Arabidopsis thaliana: one gene and its partners. The protein of the gene in region 2 purifies or fractionates together with the protein of the main gene of each other region. This does not show direct contact. Each region holds a gene or a part of one and is shown on either strand. Other genes may lie near its edges.

What was found.
Region 1: the proteins of PAC1 (region 2) and RPT5B fractionate together in Arabidopsis thaliana (co-fractionation; one large-scale study listed by BioGRID). This does not show direct contact.
Region 3: the proteins of PAC1 (region 2) and CPN60A fractionate together in Arabidopsis thaliana (co-fractionation; one large-scale study listed by BioGRID). This does not show direct contact.

The regions. Positions count from the first base shown.
Region 1 is NC_003070.9:2,935,669-2,941,107, reverse strand, and holds RPT5B (26S proteasome AAA-ATPase subunit RPT5B), read left to right. Parts: upstream 1-1,744; 5' UTR 1,745-1,849; coding exon 1,850-1,966; intron 1,967-2,310; coding exon 2,311-2,427; intron 2,428-2,666; coding exon 2,667-2,774; intron 2,775-2,892; coding exon 2,893-3,084; intron 3,085-3,182; coding exon 3,183-3,374; intron 3,375-3,470; coding exon 3,471-3,589; intron 3,590-3,666; coding exon 3,667-3,754; intron 3,755-3,835; coding exon 3,836-3,955; intron 3,956-4,135; coding exon 4,136-4,276; intron 4,277-4,355; coding exon 4,356-4,433; 3' UTR 4,434-4,580; downstream 4,581-5,439. Other genes in the region: AT1G09130 (ATP-dependent caseinolytic (Clp) protease/crotonase family protein), read left to right, coding at 54-150, 238-311, 532-585, 660-743, 956-1,036, 1,249-1,377; RBOHB (respiratory burst oxidase-like protein), read right to left, coding at 4,613-4,722, 4,812-5,311, 5,391-5,439. UniProt on the Arabidopsis thaliana protein: The 26S proteasome is involved in the ATP-dependent degradation of ubiquitinated proteins. The regulatory (or ATPase) complex confers ATP dependency and substrate specificity to the 26S complex.
Region 2 is NC_003074.8:7,791,621-7,796,442, reverse strand, and holds PAC1 (20S proteasome alpha subunit C1), read left to right. Parts: upstream 1-2,180; 5' UTR 2,181-2,372; intron 2,373-2,861; 5' UTR 2,862-2,871; coding exon 2,872-3,624; 3' UTR 3,625-3,894; downstream 3,895-4,822. Other genes in the region: CWLP (cell wall-plasma membrane linker protein), read left to right, coding at 105-1,160; AT3G22104 (Phototropic-responsive NPH3 family protein), read right to left, coding at 4,264-4,632, 4,722-4,822. UniProt on the Arabidopsis thaliana protein: The proteasome is a multicatalytic proteinase complex which is characterized by its ability to cleave peptides with Arg, Phe, Tyr, Leu, and Glu adjacent to the leaving group at neutral or slightly basic pH.
Region 3 is NC_003071.7:11,924,560-11,930,347, forward strand, and holds CPN60A (chaperonin-60alpha), read left to right. Parts: upstream 1-1,886; 5' UTR 1,887-2,043; coding exon 2,044-2,097; intron 2,098-2,411; coding exon 2,412-2,595; intron 2,596-2,692; coding exon 2,693-2,814; intron 2,815-2,888; coding exon 2,889-3,096; intron 3,097-3,181; coding exon 3,182-3,327; intron 3,328-3,409; coding exon 3,410-3,716; intron 3,717-3,801; coding exon 3,802-4,253; intron 4,254-4,337; coding exon 4,338-4,625; 3' UTR 4,626-4,929; downstream 4,930-5,788. UniProt on the Arabidopsis thaliana protein: Binds RuBisCO small and large subunits and is implicated in the assembly of the enzyme oligomer. Involved in protein assisted folding. Required for proper chloroplast development.

The sequences.
Region 1 (5,439 bases), on a different chromosome or scaffold from region 2:
TTTTCGTCTCCACGGTATTTTTCATGTGAGCATGTTGGTTCTTATTTGTGCAGGTACATACAGTATGTGTGGGAGCAGCCATAGGTCAGGCCTGTCTATTACTTTCTGCGGGAACCAAGGGTAAACGGTTTATGATGCCACATGCCAAAGGTATAGACTTCGACTGCATTCTGGCCGCTTCTATGGCTCACCATTGATAATCAGAACCTCTCATACGTTTGATTCATTATGTCACAGCGATGATTCAGCAACCACGTGTACCTTCTTCTGGGTTGATGCCTGCCAGTGATGTCCTGATTCGGGCCAAAGAGGTTTGATGAATCGCTCTACACACTTAATATTCTGGAAATTTAAATTTGATCGAGATTTTCTCTTTCTGCTTTGCTTCTACCTACTTTCCTATATTATATCTCTGATAATTTGGACAGAAATTTCTCACTTAAGCATTTGGTTCAGAATTTCATGACCTAATTAGGTGAAGAATCTGAGTTTGATTACTTCATCTTCCTCATTCCTGTTATGCAATTGCAGGTCATTACAAATAGGGATATACTTGTGGAACTACTATCAAAGCATACTGGGAATGTGAGTGCGAAATATTTTCATAACTTTGTGGAGAAATTTGATAGCTGATTAAAACATTCTTATATGTCATATAGTCCGTGGAGACTGTAGCTAACGTAATGAGAAGGCCATATTACATGGATGCACCAAAAGCTAAAGAATTTGGAGTCATTGACAGGGTAAGTTTGGGCACTGTAATTTTTTGATGTTGCTTTTCATATGCACATACTAAAAGATTAAAGGTTACATATCGTCACCAAGCAAAGTAACCTTTCCAGTCAAGTTTCCCTCTCTTCTACCTTTTCCTGATGTTTGCCTGTGCGTAATGATGAATTTGTTTTCATACTTTTCCAAGTTAAAGCTTTAAAGATGGTCTCATAATCATTGGCAGATTCTTTGGCGCGGTCAAGAAAAGATTATTGCGGACGTGGTTCCTTCAGAGGAATTCGACAAGAATGCAGGGATTAAAAGCGTAGTATGAGTCTAGTCTTAAGTTTTCTTGGCCTAAATCATACTGTAAGTGACACGCGTAACTCTCCATTGCTACTCTAGGCATGAATCCATCTTATTCATGGAAATCTCTGATGAAGAAATACAAATGCATCTAACTTACCTGCAAATCATTAGAACGCACGCTTGTATTTACAATGATTTGTATTTTGCTTGAACTCTACTCATTTGCAGGCGTCATGGAGAAGAACAAATAGACTGACCAAAATCACATTGGCCGCAGACTGCCTTGTTTCAAATCACTTGGTAAATGTGAACATGCGATTAGGAGAATCATACTTAAAGGATCTTGAAATATTATGATAAAATTGTAATGTGTTTGTTCGTTAGCAATAGTAAATACAATCTTCAACTCTCTTCTTCACCCTTCCGATTTGAATATTGAACAGTTTCTTACTTGTTTCCATTTGGCTTCACTTCTTTTTTGGTCAGCTTTTAAGAAAACTACATCATCAATTTGACCAGATTGCTTAGCAATAACTTGATTTTAAAATAGATATAAGATACATTGTGAAAAAAATAAAAAGGATACAAAACCAAAAACGCTCCGATGCCGGGAATCGAACCCGGGTCTCCTGGGTGAAAGCCAGATATCCTAACCGCTGGACGACATCGGATTTGTTGTTGGGTATTGACTGTGATAATATTTAATACAATACATGTGTTATTAAATTAAAGCTGTTTCTTCGCCCAAAAGCCAAACTCTGTTTCCTATTTATGTCTTCTGAGATCTCTCGTAGACTCTTACAGTGATTAACTCAGGCTGCTAAGGGAGATGGCAACGGCGATGGCGGAGGATACGAGCTTCGAGGGAGACCAACTAGCTTCCATGACTACTGATGACATCGGTAGAGCTTCTCGTCTCTTAGCCAACGAGATTCGCATCCTCAAGGTCACCACCCTCTCTCTCTTCTCTCTATATTTTTAATCTGCTGGCTACTTGGAACTAGTATATTTCTTCATTCCAAGCTCACTATTACCTTAATTTGATTAGCGACACTTTGATTAGTTTTGAAGAAGATGGATGATGTCTGAGAGCAACGATAACTCTTGTTTCATATCACACTTTTTATCAGTCAAAGATATCGAAATTCACTCAAAGTACTTGTTTTTATAGTTAGATAATTATAGAATATGATTAGAAGACATTTATATTTACTGGTCTTTTGCTCATTGGATGAAATTCACCAGAATTTTTTGATGTCTTTTTCTCTCAAATACGTTGATTTGTTGTAGGAAGAATCGCAGAGGACAAACCTTGATTTGGAATCAGTGAAGGAGAAAATAAAGGAGAACCAGGAGAAGATTAAGCTTAACAAACAGCTTCCTTACTTAGTTGGCAATATCGTTGAGGTACTTTCACTGACTCTTCTCTTGGGGTGTTTCACATTCCTTATATGGGGCTTTTGGTTTTGGTATGTATAACATTCCTTTTTGTTGAGTGACACAATTGTACTATGCTTTTGATTACTAGTAGTGTTAGCCTGATGAATTCCTTGAATCTTTGCCACAGTAGTTCAGACATTTTACCATCAAATTTTTTTTTGTGTAATGATGGAATTAGGATTTGATCTATTATCCGTGCTTTCTAGATTCTTGAGATGAGTCCAGAGGATGATGCAGAGGAAGATGGAGCGAATATCGATCTGGACTCTCAGAGGAAGGGAAAGTGTGTCGTTCTAAAAACATCAACTCGTCAGGTGAAGTTTTAGACTCTTATATCACCGTTAGAGAGATTTTCAGAACTAGTGGGGAACAAACTCTGACTACTAGTGTAGTGTTTGTATAATGATCTCATGGGTTAATTATACTTTTCAGACCATCTTCCTCCCTGTTGTTGGACTTGTTGATCCAGATACATTGAAGCCTGGGGACTTAGTTGGAGTTAACAAAGATAGTTACTTGATTCTGGATACTTTACCTTCTGAGTATGATTCAAGAGTAAAAGCAATGGAGGTCGACGAAAAACCTACTGAAGACTACAATGATATAGGGGGACTAGAAAAACAGGCTAGTTGATGACTCTCCTGTTTCATGTTTCCTTAGTTTTTAGTATCTCTGGTACAATATTTGATGTTGGTGACTCTCCTGTTTTTGTAATTAAACAGATACAAGAACTTGTTGAAGCCATTGTGTTGCCAATGACTCATAAAGAGCAGTTCGAAAAGTTGGGTATCCGTCCACCAAAAGGTGTACTCTTGTATGGTCCTCCTGGAACCGGAAAGACGTTGATGGCCCGAGCTTGTGCAGCACAGACAAATGCAACTTTCCTCAAACTAGCAGGGCCACAACTTGTTCAGGTATGAAAACTAGAGTAAACGTAACTGATTTTGATCTTGTTCCTGTGATATTTTTTGAACCAAACGGAAAGTAACTTTTTTTAGACTTATGTATAGATGTTCATCGGAGATGGAGCAAAACTTGTCCGTGATGCTTTCCTGCTTGCAAAAGAGAAATCCCCTTGTATTATATTCATAGATGAGATTGACGCAATAGGGACAAAGCGTTTTGATAGGTACTCTATCTAGAGTCATGTCATAACTATTTTATTTTCTTTCTGATGACTAATGCTGACTTTTAATTGGCTTACAGCGAAGTTAGTGGAGACCGTGAGGTACAAAGGACAATGTTGGAGCTGCTCAACCAGCTTGATGGATTCAGCAGCGATGATCGCATTAAGGTTGTTACCCCTCATATTACCCCTGCAAATGTCTATTTATTTAGTGAAAGGCATGAAAAACTCATAATTTTACAAACTTAGGTTATTGCAGCGACAAATCGTGCTGATATACTAGATCCTGCCCTTATGCGTTCTGGTCGTTTGGATCGTAAAATCGAGTTTCCGCACCCCACTGAAGAAGCTAGAGGCAGGATCTTACAGGTTCTGTATCCTTTACTGCATCTTTTCTTTTTTCTTTCTTTATTTCTATGTCGTTTTAAAGCTAAAATTAGAGAGCTTCATGCACTTAGACAAGTCTTGCTGTGATTTTCTATGTATTCCGCGGATAACTTATCTTGGGTACTGTTTTGTTTTTGCATAATGTTGGCGATGGGGTTACAGATACATTCAAGGAAAATGAATGTGAATGCAGACGTCAATTTTGAAGAGCTTGCTCGGTCAACGGATGATTTCAATGGAGCTCAACTCAAAGCAGTGTGTGTTGAAGCGGGTATGCTTGCCCTGCGCCGGGATGCAACTGAGGTATGCATATATCTTTCGTCTTAGTGGTTGTAACTTTAGGATGTGGATGATATGGAGGAAATGGTAAATGTGTGTGCAGGTGAACCATGAGGATTTCAATGAAGGTATAATTCAAGTACAAGCCAAGAAGAAAGCAAGCTTGAATTACTACGCCTAAGTCCTCTTTTATGTACACTCTTCTTTCTCCTCTTTACATTATAGAAAACTTCAAGTTGTAGTCTCAACTTTTGAATCTAGAACCCCTTCAAAGTGTGGTTATAATTATAATAGATATCAGCTTGACATATTTTGCTTATTATTTTCTAATGATGGTCTGATGGATGAATAGAATCGAAACTAGAAATTTTCCTTGTGGAACTCAAACTTGGTCGTAGTTTTCCTAGAGAAATCTTGAGCCAGTCTCTTTAACTCTCCTATGATGCATGTATTACCACAGTAGAAAACCCCTACCAACAAAATAGAAAAAGGAAAATCAGTTACTTACTAGAAAGATTCTACAATAGCTATGGAATTGTTGTAATAGCTAGTGACATACCAACTCGTTGATTGACGTGGTTGACTGCGACGTGCTTGAAGACACTACGCCAATTGGGTCGAGCGAAATGGGTTCGGACCCGAGTGCCCGATACGATGTCAATGCCGCTCTTGGCGTGGTGCAATGACTGCAACATGGTGATTAGTGCTGACCTCGCATCTCCTTCCTCATACACGCTAGTGCAGTAATTATGTAGTTCAATCATCCCCTCACTATCATACTCAGCTACCTCGTTCATGACCTCACTGAACCATTCCAATGATCCTTGCTCTCTTGTTACCCAATAAAAATAAGCTCGTTTTGTGGCAACATAGTTTTTTATGTGTTGGTTAGTGCCTCGTTCGATGGAATTCTGGTTCTTGATGTTGTTAAGGACGTCCCTGATTATGCTGATTAATGGCGTCGCTCCGATCCCTAGACCTACTAGAAGCAATACATCGTAGTTCCGGTAATCTTGTGCGGGTGCACCATATGGACCATCGATTAACAGCCTCGGAAACCTTTCCATGTAAAATTCATTAGAAAAATTGCTCATGTTTTTAAATCATGATTACTCAAATTATAAATCAAAAACTGTACCTGGTTATATTGTTGGCTTGACCTATGTCAGCTATGAAGAGCCCACTTT
Region 2 (4,822 bases):
AATCCAATTTCAATCATCTAAACCACAATTTGGTGCATACAATATTTATATATAAAAATTAAATATCTCGTGAGAGTTTTTCTATAAAAGGTACACGTACACTCATGTATCTACTTACTCACTCCTTTCAGAAACCCAAACCCTCATTCCAAAAAATGGGGTCTCGCTCTCAAAACCTCTCCTTTCTCGTCCTCCTCCTCCTTGGCTTCGTTGCCGTCTCCTATGCTTGCGACTGTACCCCTCCTAAACCATCACCAGCACCTCACAAACCACCAAAACATCCAGTCAAACCGCCTAAACCTCCTGCCGTCAAACCACCTAAACCACCGGCAGTAAAACCACCTACTCCAAAACCTCCCACCGTGAAACCCCATCCTAAACCACCAACCGTCAAACCCCATCCTAAACCACCAACCGTCAAACCCCACCCTAAGCCACCCACCGTCAAACCACCCCACCCTAAACCACCCACCAAACCTCACCCCCACCCAAAACCTCCCATCGTAAAGCCACCAACCAAGCCTCCTCCGTCCACCCCTAAACCTCCCACCAAACCTCCCCCGTCCACACCTAAACCTCCCACGACCAAGCCTCCTCCGTCTACTCCGAAACCACCCCACCACAAGCCTCCGCCTACACCATGCCCACCACCAACACCAACGCCGACTCCACCAGTTGTAACACCGCCAACACCAACCCCACCCGTCATAACTCCACCAACACCAACCCCACCCGTCGTAACACCGCCAACGCCAACTCCACCCGTCATTACACCACCAACACCAACTCCACCCGTCATTACACCACCAACACCAACACCACCCGTCGTGACACCTCCAACACCAACACCACCCGTAGTAACACCACCAACACCAACTCCTCCTACGCCTATTCCAGAGACTTGCCCAATTGACACGCTGAAGCTAGGCGCTTGTGTGGACGTTCTTGGAGGTTTGATTCACATCGGACTTGGAAAAAGCCACGCCAAGGCAGAATGTTGTCCGGTTTTAGGAGGTTTACTTGACCTAGACGCAGCCGTTTGTCTATGTACCACCATTAAGCTCAAACTTCTCAACATCGACCTTGTTCTCCCCATTGCTCTTGAGCTTCTTCTCGACTGTGGAAAAACTCCACCATCTGACTTCAAATGTCCCGCTTAATCGATGTAGAACGTTGAGAGTCTCTGGACGACTCCAAAAGTTTCGTTTCTTCAAGAAATTTGTTAGTTTCATGATCTATTTGGTAATGGGAGGTTAATCTGCATATGTGCGACCTTTAGTTACATGTTTCATTTGATACAATAAAAGGCGTTGTAATTTGGGTTTGAGATTTCAATTTCTTTGGGCTTTCTTGTTATGTTGTACTTTTAAGAAGAAGAAAAAAAAACTGTTAAACGATATAACTTTTTTTTTAATATGAACAAGTTTGTATCTGTCTAATTTGTTTTTATGTACATACGTACGTTTTGGAGTAGAAAAAATGTGATTTTTGTAGCCATGGCCCATGCGCATTGCACTGATGCATATGCGCCTCACAGCGCAGCTACTGACCAAGAACATGTGTATAAATTTAGTTATACTGTATACACGTATACTCTTGCTAAAAAAAAATTATCTATCACATTTTTTTTTGTCCAAACATTTGATAAAAAAGATATATGATAAGATTACAAAATTTTGATTTGTTTATGAAGATTTCAAGAAAATAAGTAAGCCCCTAATATTTTAGAGTGTGTTATTAGTTATCTTGTTAGTGACAATTGTTTATCATACATTACAAGAGATATATCTATGTATTTTCTTATACAAATAACATACATTGTGTGTTACTACGTACCAGGGATTTAACAAAACATTTAGTTTGTAAATACTACATTTTTACTTTTCTTTTAACATCGTGAATATATATAACATTACATTCTTATTATGATTTATGAAATAGGTGCACATTTAAATGTTTTTTCTAAAAGGGATATTCTTACTGATATGTGTATATAAATACATCCACGTAAAATGAATCTAGCTTTTTTTTTTGTCAGAAATGAATCTAGTTTATATTTCTATACACATATCAGTAAAAAAAAAAAAAAAAAAAAAAAATCAGCATATGACAACAAAAATTAAGATATATCAGAGATTCCGAGTTATGGATCTTGCATTGGGCTTGATTATATAATTTGGGCCTTTTCTTATCCATAAATTACACTTTTGGGCCTAATCTGTAAAGCACAAAAAAAAAACACCTTTTTTTTTTCTTTTCTTTCTGGCTTGTCGAACAGTTCACATCTCAGAGCTCATAAATTTTGTGGAGAGCAAAGTTCTCAGCAAAATCAAAGAAGAACCGAACGAGAGAGAGAAACGAATTCTTCTCAGGTATTCTCTTAAATCCAATGTCTTTCATTCTCCTACTTGTTCCTAGAATTTTCAGAATCTGTGTATCTTCCTTTCCTGTTTAATTTTGCTGGATCTGTCTTGAGCGAAGTGTTTTCTTATGAAATCTTCAAACTTTTGATAGAATTTTATAAACCCTAGCTAGATTCGATTCTGGGTGATGTTTAGTTTTTAGGTGTTTTTATATGGGCATCAGTGATTGTTGAATTATCTTTCGATTTTTCTCTTCGCTCCTGTGATTGTGACTTTAGGTTTGTGTTGATCTCAAAGTAACATAGATTTATAAAGCTAGTTCATTTCCTTTCTATTGAAGAAACTTGACCTAGTTTTAGTCTAGTTTTTAATCTGAATCAATTGTGTTTGTTGATCGTTGTGATGTCGAAAACCCTAGTTTTCGTGTTTTCGGAACTTGCCCTGTGTCTAATGGAGTATGAATTAGTTGTGTAGACCAATGCATTTGTTGTGGTGCAGGTGTTAAAGAATGTCTCGGAGATATGATAGCCGTACCACAATCTTCTCGCCAGAAGGTCGTCTTTACCAGGTAGAGTATGCTATGGAGGCCATTGGAAACGCCGGTTCTGCGATTGGAATCTTATCCAAAGACGGTGTTGTGTTGATCGGTGAGAAGAAAGTCACCTCAAAGCTTCTTCAAACCTCAACCTCTGCTGAGAAAATGTACAAGATTGATGACCATGTTGCCTGTGCTGTTGCTGGTATAATGTCTGATGCTAACATACTTATCAACACGGCTCGAGTTCAAGCTCAACGTTACACCTTCATGTACCAAGAGCCCATGCCGGTTGAGCAGCTGGTTCAATCTCTTTGTGACACAAAACAAGGATACACACAGTTTGGTGGTCTTCGCCCGTTTGGTGTCTCCTTTCTCTTTGCAGGATGGGACAAGCACCATGGTTTCCAGCTTTATATGAGTGACCCGAGTGGGAACTATGGTGGTTGGAAAGCTGCAGCTGTTGGAGCAAACAATCAGGCGGCTCAGTCTATCCTGAAACAAGACTACAAGGACGATGCAACCAGGGAAGAAGCAGTCGAGCTTGCCTTGAAGGTTCTGACCAAGACAATGGACAGCACTAGCTTAACATCTGAGAAGCTAGAGCTTGCTGAAGTGTATCTGACTCCATCCAAGACTGTTAAGTACCATGTTCACTCACCTGAGTCGCTCACCAAACTGTTGGTCAAGCACGGTGTGACTCAACCCGCTGCTGAAACATCTTAAGCCCAAAAGTATCTCTAGTCTTATTCGCCTGGTACGGTGTCTCCGCTTTATGTTTGTAGTTCTCTGTTTTACAGCTTTCCTTTTGGTTTGAACTTTGAAGTTACCTTTGGCGATGAAACTAGATTTGACAATGTTATGAATTTATCTTCAATGCATCATCTTTTTACTAATGTCGATCAAAGGAACAGATATATTTTATTCTTATCTCTTTAGATTAGTCTGAATTTCTTCAATTCATGACTTGAATACTAAGCATTCTACTTGTCGCGCAAAGTTTTACACGTAACGGCCTCGTCAAAAAGAACTGTTTTATCTTCTAAGTAAACGCAATTACACGTTGAGAATCTTGGAATCACAAAAGAGTAACGTTTAAGGAAGAATAGAATCAAAATTCTAGATTTTTGTTTTGCATTCTTGGTATTAATCTCACAAGAAAATTTTATAGATTTAAGTTTGTATCATCTCCATAAAAACGAATTTATCTTTACTTTTCATTACGCACAACTTTGTGACAAAGAAAACAACACAAGAAAAGATAAATACTCTGAAACATAAGAACCAAATGGTAACTATAATTGACTCCTTATGCTCTCTATCACTCTATGTACAAATATGATCGTAAGCTTACAGCTTCACTAATCAAGAACAGAGCTTAGGAAGTGATCTATTACTTCCTTTGCTCGAGCTCTTGGATCTCTTCTTGATAACTTCCATTTGATTCTGCATTTTCAAACAAGCTCTCTCCAATTCCATTACCCTCCATTGAATCCCTTCGATATGTTCCTTCAGCTTCTCGTTTTCTCCTGAAGTCTCAACCTTCTCCATTCTGAGTATGAGCTGCTTCTGTTGTTGTTGTTGTTGTTGTTGTTGTTGTTGTTCATCTAGTGTCTCAATAGCCTGAAACTTTTGGTTACGCGAAATGTGAGCTCTTGATTCTCCTGAAAGCTTCTCGTAACTTAAAGTTCGTATCAAGTTGAGTTTTTCGCCATCAGTTGTTCCTGTGTGAGCCTGAACGAGCCATTAAACTGTTATTAGTGTGATAAAGATCGAAACATTCTTTTTTACATTTTGAACTTGAGATGAGTGTTGAAACGTACCTCGAGATACATATCAATAGCACGGTATATATCTTCGTGGGATTCTCTGGCTGAATCTGGAACAAGTGTGATGAGAGAAAGAAACTTTGAAGGTTTCAAGC
Region 3 (5,788 bases), on a different chromosome or scaffold from region 2:
TCTCAGAAGAAAAAAGGGAACACAACACATACCGATCGGAAGGTGGCCGGAAAAATCGTCGGAGCTCCGGTGGTGAGTTTAGATATGTATGTAAACCGACCGTGGGAGATAGAGAGAGAGACTGAGAGAGACTGAGAGAGAATAATGATTGCGTAAAGCCGTAAAATCTGTAATGGTTTTTTTCTTGACGTATTAAGGTGGGTTTTATCAGTCTTTCTATTACACGGTACTGTACTTACTCTCTTAAAAATCTATTTTGTCGGTTTTTTTCCACGAAAATTATTTTCTTCTTTAAACTGATACACATGTATCAATATCCAAATGAAACACATTTTTATACAAATTGAAACATGCAATAAACTACGGAATATCTAAAAAACAATAAAATTAACGGCCCTAAAATTAATTTTAACTAAATTCTTTAATAAAATAAAATAAAATCATAAGTCTATAAAGTATTAGTTATTTTATGGTAGTTTAATGGTTAATAATTGTTTTTTCATATAGAACATAGGAATGTGGTTAAATTTCAGAATTTTAATACACTTTTAACTTAATTATTTGTTTATATGAGGCACTTTAAGTTTTAGAAAACTATAAACACATATGCAAAACATCAAACCAAATTATGTTTTTGCATGTCTTTTGTTGCATGCTCTATATATCCTAACTATTTTTGCTTAGTAGTCCACTAAATTGTTTCGTTTCAATCACAACCACTCAAGAAAATAATTACAATAGATTACTAAAACAAGTTAACAACAGTGTTATTTATTTACTCTTTTTGTCGTAATGCTTTAAATTACATGTCTCTTTCTTTTCATCGGACAACTGTTAGTGTGTTTTTTTGTACATCAGGACAACTGTTAGTTTACTCATGTTTTCTACATTGTACATTTTGGCAGTCAATTTTACGGCACGGTTTCCATTAAAGATATGGACGTCATCTTATGGTAAGCTGCATCTTTTGAGGAATAATACATGTAGACGTCCCTATTTATAATTTTTGTGTTACGTAACTTCCCTTTTGTTATTAATTAAGTGTGTTTATTTGGTCAATTCACTCAATCAAATCAAACCCAACGCCAAACTGCAACTATTTATGTGATTGACGCTTCAGAGTTGAAACTGCCACTTTTGTCAGATTTATTATCTCACTTCCCAACTTTTCTTTTCCGTAACTAGTGAATTTATTCATGGGAAACTAATTTAATGCATGGTATATGATGCGTACAACAAGCAATACTTATATGAAAAAAGATTTAGAAACAAATTGTATTGGCTTAACTAAATCAATTAATCATGTAGCAATTAGGTGATTTGGAGTCTATTCTCTGTTTAGAAAAGTAGTAACTGTTGTCTTTATGAGAGTTTCTGTTTTACTTAGCGGGTAAATCTACTCTAAGCTAGGTGTTTTCATCCACTTAACATGTATTTTATAATCTCATGGTTTTCACAAGTCTTAAATTGTACTTATTAGTTTGGTCTAAATATTACTCCCTTTGTTTCATTATATTGGATGTTTTAGGGATTTTATTTTGTTTCAGATTATAAGATGTTTTACAAGTTTAAATTTAAATTTAATTTGACTATTTGTGACTATTTATATTTTGCAGTTTTCATTATCATTTTTTTTAACAAAATCTAAATACTATTTTTTATATACAAAATGACCTAATATGTATCCATTTACCTTAAACCTCTTATATTTTAAAACAGAGTGAGTACATTCAGTAAGAGAATGGATAAAAACGAATTTGGAATACACAAACTATAAAAGTTTCTTGAGTACTGTTTCTATTATTGGGCCATAAACAGTGAGACAAACAGGCCCATAGAAGTAGGTGAAAAAGGCTTATTAAGATCAACGGTTCTCTCGTTACGAATGCAAAGAATCTTCTGGATCCTTTTTCTCTCAGCTACTCTCTCCATTTATCTAATAAACCCTAACCCCTCCTCCCACACTATTCGTTTACACTAACCACTTCCTTATCCACACCAATCCAGAACGTTCCTCAAAAAGCTCCCTCCTTTTCTCTCAAAATGGCGTCTGCAAACGCTCTCTCTTCCGCCTCCGTCCTCTGTTCTTCCCGTCAGGTACAAAGTTTGTTCCTTTTTACCTTCCTTAGCTACTTACTAAAGAAGAAAATGAATCATCTTTCATTACTTTGTTTTGATTGGATTTGACCCTTCAGTGTTATCTATTTTCAAAAACCTTTCTCTATCTGGTTTATTGGGTTTTTGAAGAAAGTGATTGAATTTGACCCTTTAGTTTGTTCTGTTTCAATTCAATTGCTTTTCTCTATTTGGTTTCTGGGTTGGTGAGAAAAGGTTAATTTTTATGGGAATTAGAAGAAACTGATTGAGATTAATGTTAATGAATCTGCTTTATTGATGTTGTGGGTATACAGAGTAAGTTGGGAGGAGGAAATCAGCAGCAAGGTCAGAGAGTTAGCTACAACAAGAGGACAATCAGACGTTTTAGTGTTAGAGCTAATGTAAAGGAAATAGCTTTTGACCAGCACTCTAGAGCTGCTCTACAAGCTGGTATTGATAAGCTTGCTGATTGTGTTGGTCTCACTCTTGGCCCTAGAGGTATTTGTTAATATTAGTAGCTCCTTTACTCTTTCCATCTTCATCTGTGTTATTTATCTTTCGACTTATCTTGGTGTTTTCATTTGTTATTCTTAAGGGAGGAATGTTGTGTTGGATGAATTTGGAAGTCCTAAGGTTGTGAATGATGGAGTCACCATTGCTAGAGCTATTGAGTTACCTAATGCCATGGAAAATGCTGGTGCAGCGCTTATTCGTGAGGTTGGTGTAGCTTTGTTATTGTCTCTGTTAATGCTATTTATACGGTGCGGTAATCTGGTGTTGTTATGTGGTAGGTTGCGAGTAAGACTAATGACTCTGCTGGTGATGGGACAACCACTGCGTCTATCCTTGCTCGGGAGATAATCAAACATGGATTGTTGAGCGTCACTTCTGGTGCGAATCCCGTTTCACTCAAGAGGGGAATTGATAAGACTGTTCAAGGTCTGATCGAAGAGCTTCAGAAGAAAGCTAGGCCCGTGAAAGGTCGTGATGACATCAGAGGTACTAACTTTGCAGTGACCTTCCTTGTGATGCAGCAATGTTTGATTTCTTTTACTGATCAATCTGTTCTTTTTTTTTTTTCCAGCTGTGGCTTCTATCTCTGCTGGAAATGATGACCTTATAGGGTCAATGATTGCTGATGCCATCGACAAAGTTGGACCTGATGGTGTTTTGTCCATTGAATCTTCATCTTCTTTTGAGACCACGGTCGAAGTTGAAGAAGGGATGGAGGTATGAGTTTTTTTGTCTTGCTTCTCTTCAACTGTAATTTTATTCACCATTCATTGCCAATGACTAACTTGATTATTTACAGATTGACAGAGGTTACATCTCGCCTCAGTTTGTTACAAACCCTGAGAAACTACTAGCTGAGTTTGAGAATGCTAGGGTATTGATCACTGATCAGAAGATCACTGCGATCAAAGACATCATCCCTATTTTGGAGAAGACCACTCAGCTTCGTGCTCCGTTGTTGATTATTGCAGAGGATGTTACTGGTGAAGCCTTAGCTACCCTTGTCGTGAACAAGCTTCGTGGTGTCCTCAATGTTGTTGCCGTTAAAGCGCCAGGATTTGGAGAAAGAAGAAAAGCCATGCTTCAAGATATTGCAATCTTGACAGGTATATGCAGATTTCGCGTGCGTTTAGTACTTTTACTTTCTCTCTGTTATGGTCTAAACTTTTTATCATTTTGTATGTTTTTCAGGAGCTGAGTACCTAGCCATGGACATGAGCTTACTGGTTGAAAACGCAACCATAGATCAATTGGGTATTGCCCGAAAAGTCACGATTAGCAAAGATTCGACTACCCTCATTGCAGATGCAGCTTCCAAGGACGAATTACAAGCTCGGATTGCTCAGCTGAAGAAAGAACTATTCGAGACTGATTCTGTGTATGACTCAGAGAAGCTCGCTGAGAGAATTGCGAAGCTATCTGGAGGTGTTGCTGTCATTAAAGTCGGAGCAGCAACTGAAACTGAGCTTGAGGACCGTAAGCTTCGTATCGAGGATGCAAAGAACGCAACATTTGCTGCTATCGAGGAAGGCATAGTTCCAGGTGGTGGTGCTGCTTTGGTGCATCTCTCCACTGTTATTCCCGCCATTAAGGAGACTTTTGAGGATGCTGATGAACGTTTGGGAGCTGACATAGTACAAAAGGTAGCATTTAGTTTTTCGGTTCAGTATTTGTTCTGTAACCAATTGTGACTAGTTATCTTATAAGGGTTTATGTTTTGAGTTCAGGCATTGCTGTCACCAGCTGCTCTTATTGCTCAGAACGCTGGAGTTGAAGGAGAAGTTGTTGTGGAAAAGATTATGTTCAGCGATTGGGAGAATGGGTACAACGCAATGACTGATACATATGAGAATCTGTTCGAAGCTGGAGTGATTGATCCGGCTAAAGTGACAAGATGTGCGCTACAGAACGCTGCTTCCGTAGCAGGAATGGTACTGACCACTCAGGCCATTGTTGTTGACAAACCGAAACCCAAGGCTCCTGCTGCTGCTGCTCCTGAGGGTCTCATGGTGTAATCAAAACACAACATCTTATCATCACAATGGCATCTTTGTCTTTTTGCACATTTGTCATCCCCATTTATCTGCAATGTTTTTCTTTTTTGGGGGAATATGAGTAGTTTGTTAACAGTATCGAGAAATAATTATCATCTTTTTTGTCCAATGGAAATTGCAGAAAATGGTTATGTATGCGACCAAACATTTTATATGTAGCGAGAGTAGTTTAGCAGAACAATAAGCAAATATGCGTACAAACTGAATAATGTTCCAACTTACTATACTATTAAACTAGGAGGGAACAATGTTTTTTCATGCCTTTACTAGTTTTCTCATAAAACTTGATCTGGATATTGCACTTCGATGATCTACGAACCATTAGCAGATCTCCGGTGATTCGATACTTCTCCTTGTCGTTTATTGCACAGGCACGAACTTTGACAAGCACAAGACATGACAGTTTCTCTATGAAATGTCTCATTTCCTCTAGCTCTTCAATTGTTCCTTCATATTCAGTTATCTTCAATACTTTCACAGGACATCACAATCCATATATTCTTGTAAAGTTAAGTATATATACAGGGAGATCAGACTCGTTGGAACCACTCGTACTTTGACTTGGAACTGCTCCAAAACTAAAAGAATTTTTGGTAGATGATTATGTATGTATCCTTCTCTTCCTCCTCTTCTTGTTCTAGCTTTGATGGACTAAAATACTAGTCAAAATTTTGCTTAATATATACCCCTTATTGCTTCTCAGAGATATATCTACAAAACCGAGGATCTTCCATTTTGATGGAATCAACCGAGTCTTGTTCCCGGATGCTTGTCATCGCAGCTAGAGATATTCGAGTGGAAAGGATATAGAGATAGAGTAGAAGGGGAAAAATTCTTGACATACATTTTAGCCAACTCTAAGCGTTTAAAGACCGCAACAATCTCTCTGCCCTTCGATCTTGAAGATCAAGAGGTGATCATCGAGGAGTTGAAAGATATTCCTAGGGTTTCAACAACATCTCACCTTTTGTTCATATGAAAATTCTATGGAAGCTTGGCGAATGGGCAAGCTTAGACTACTTATCTGCTATTATATGTTTTAATCAACTTGCAAAGATTAGTAACATAAAAAAAAATATTAAGAATTCTAGACAAGTTAGACTACTTCCTACAAACGTGTAGTG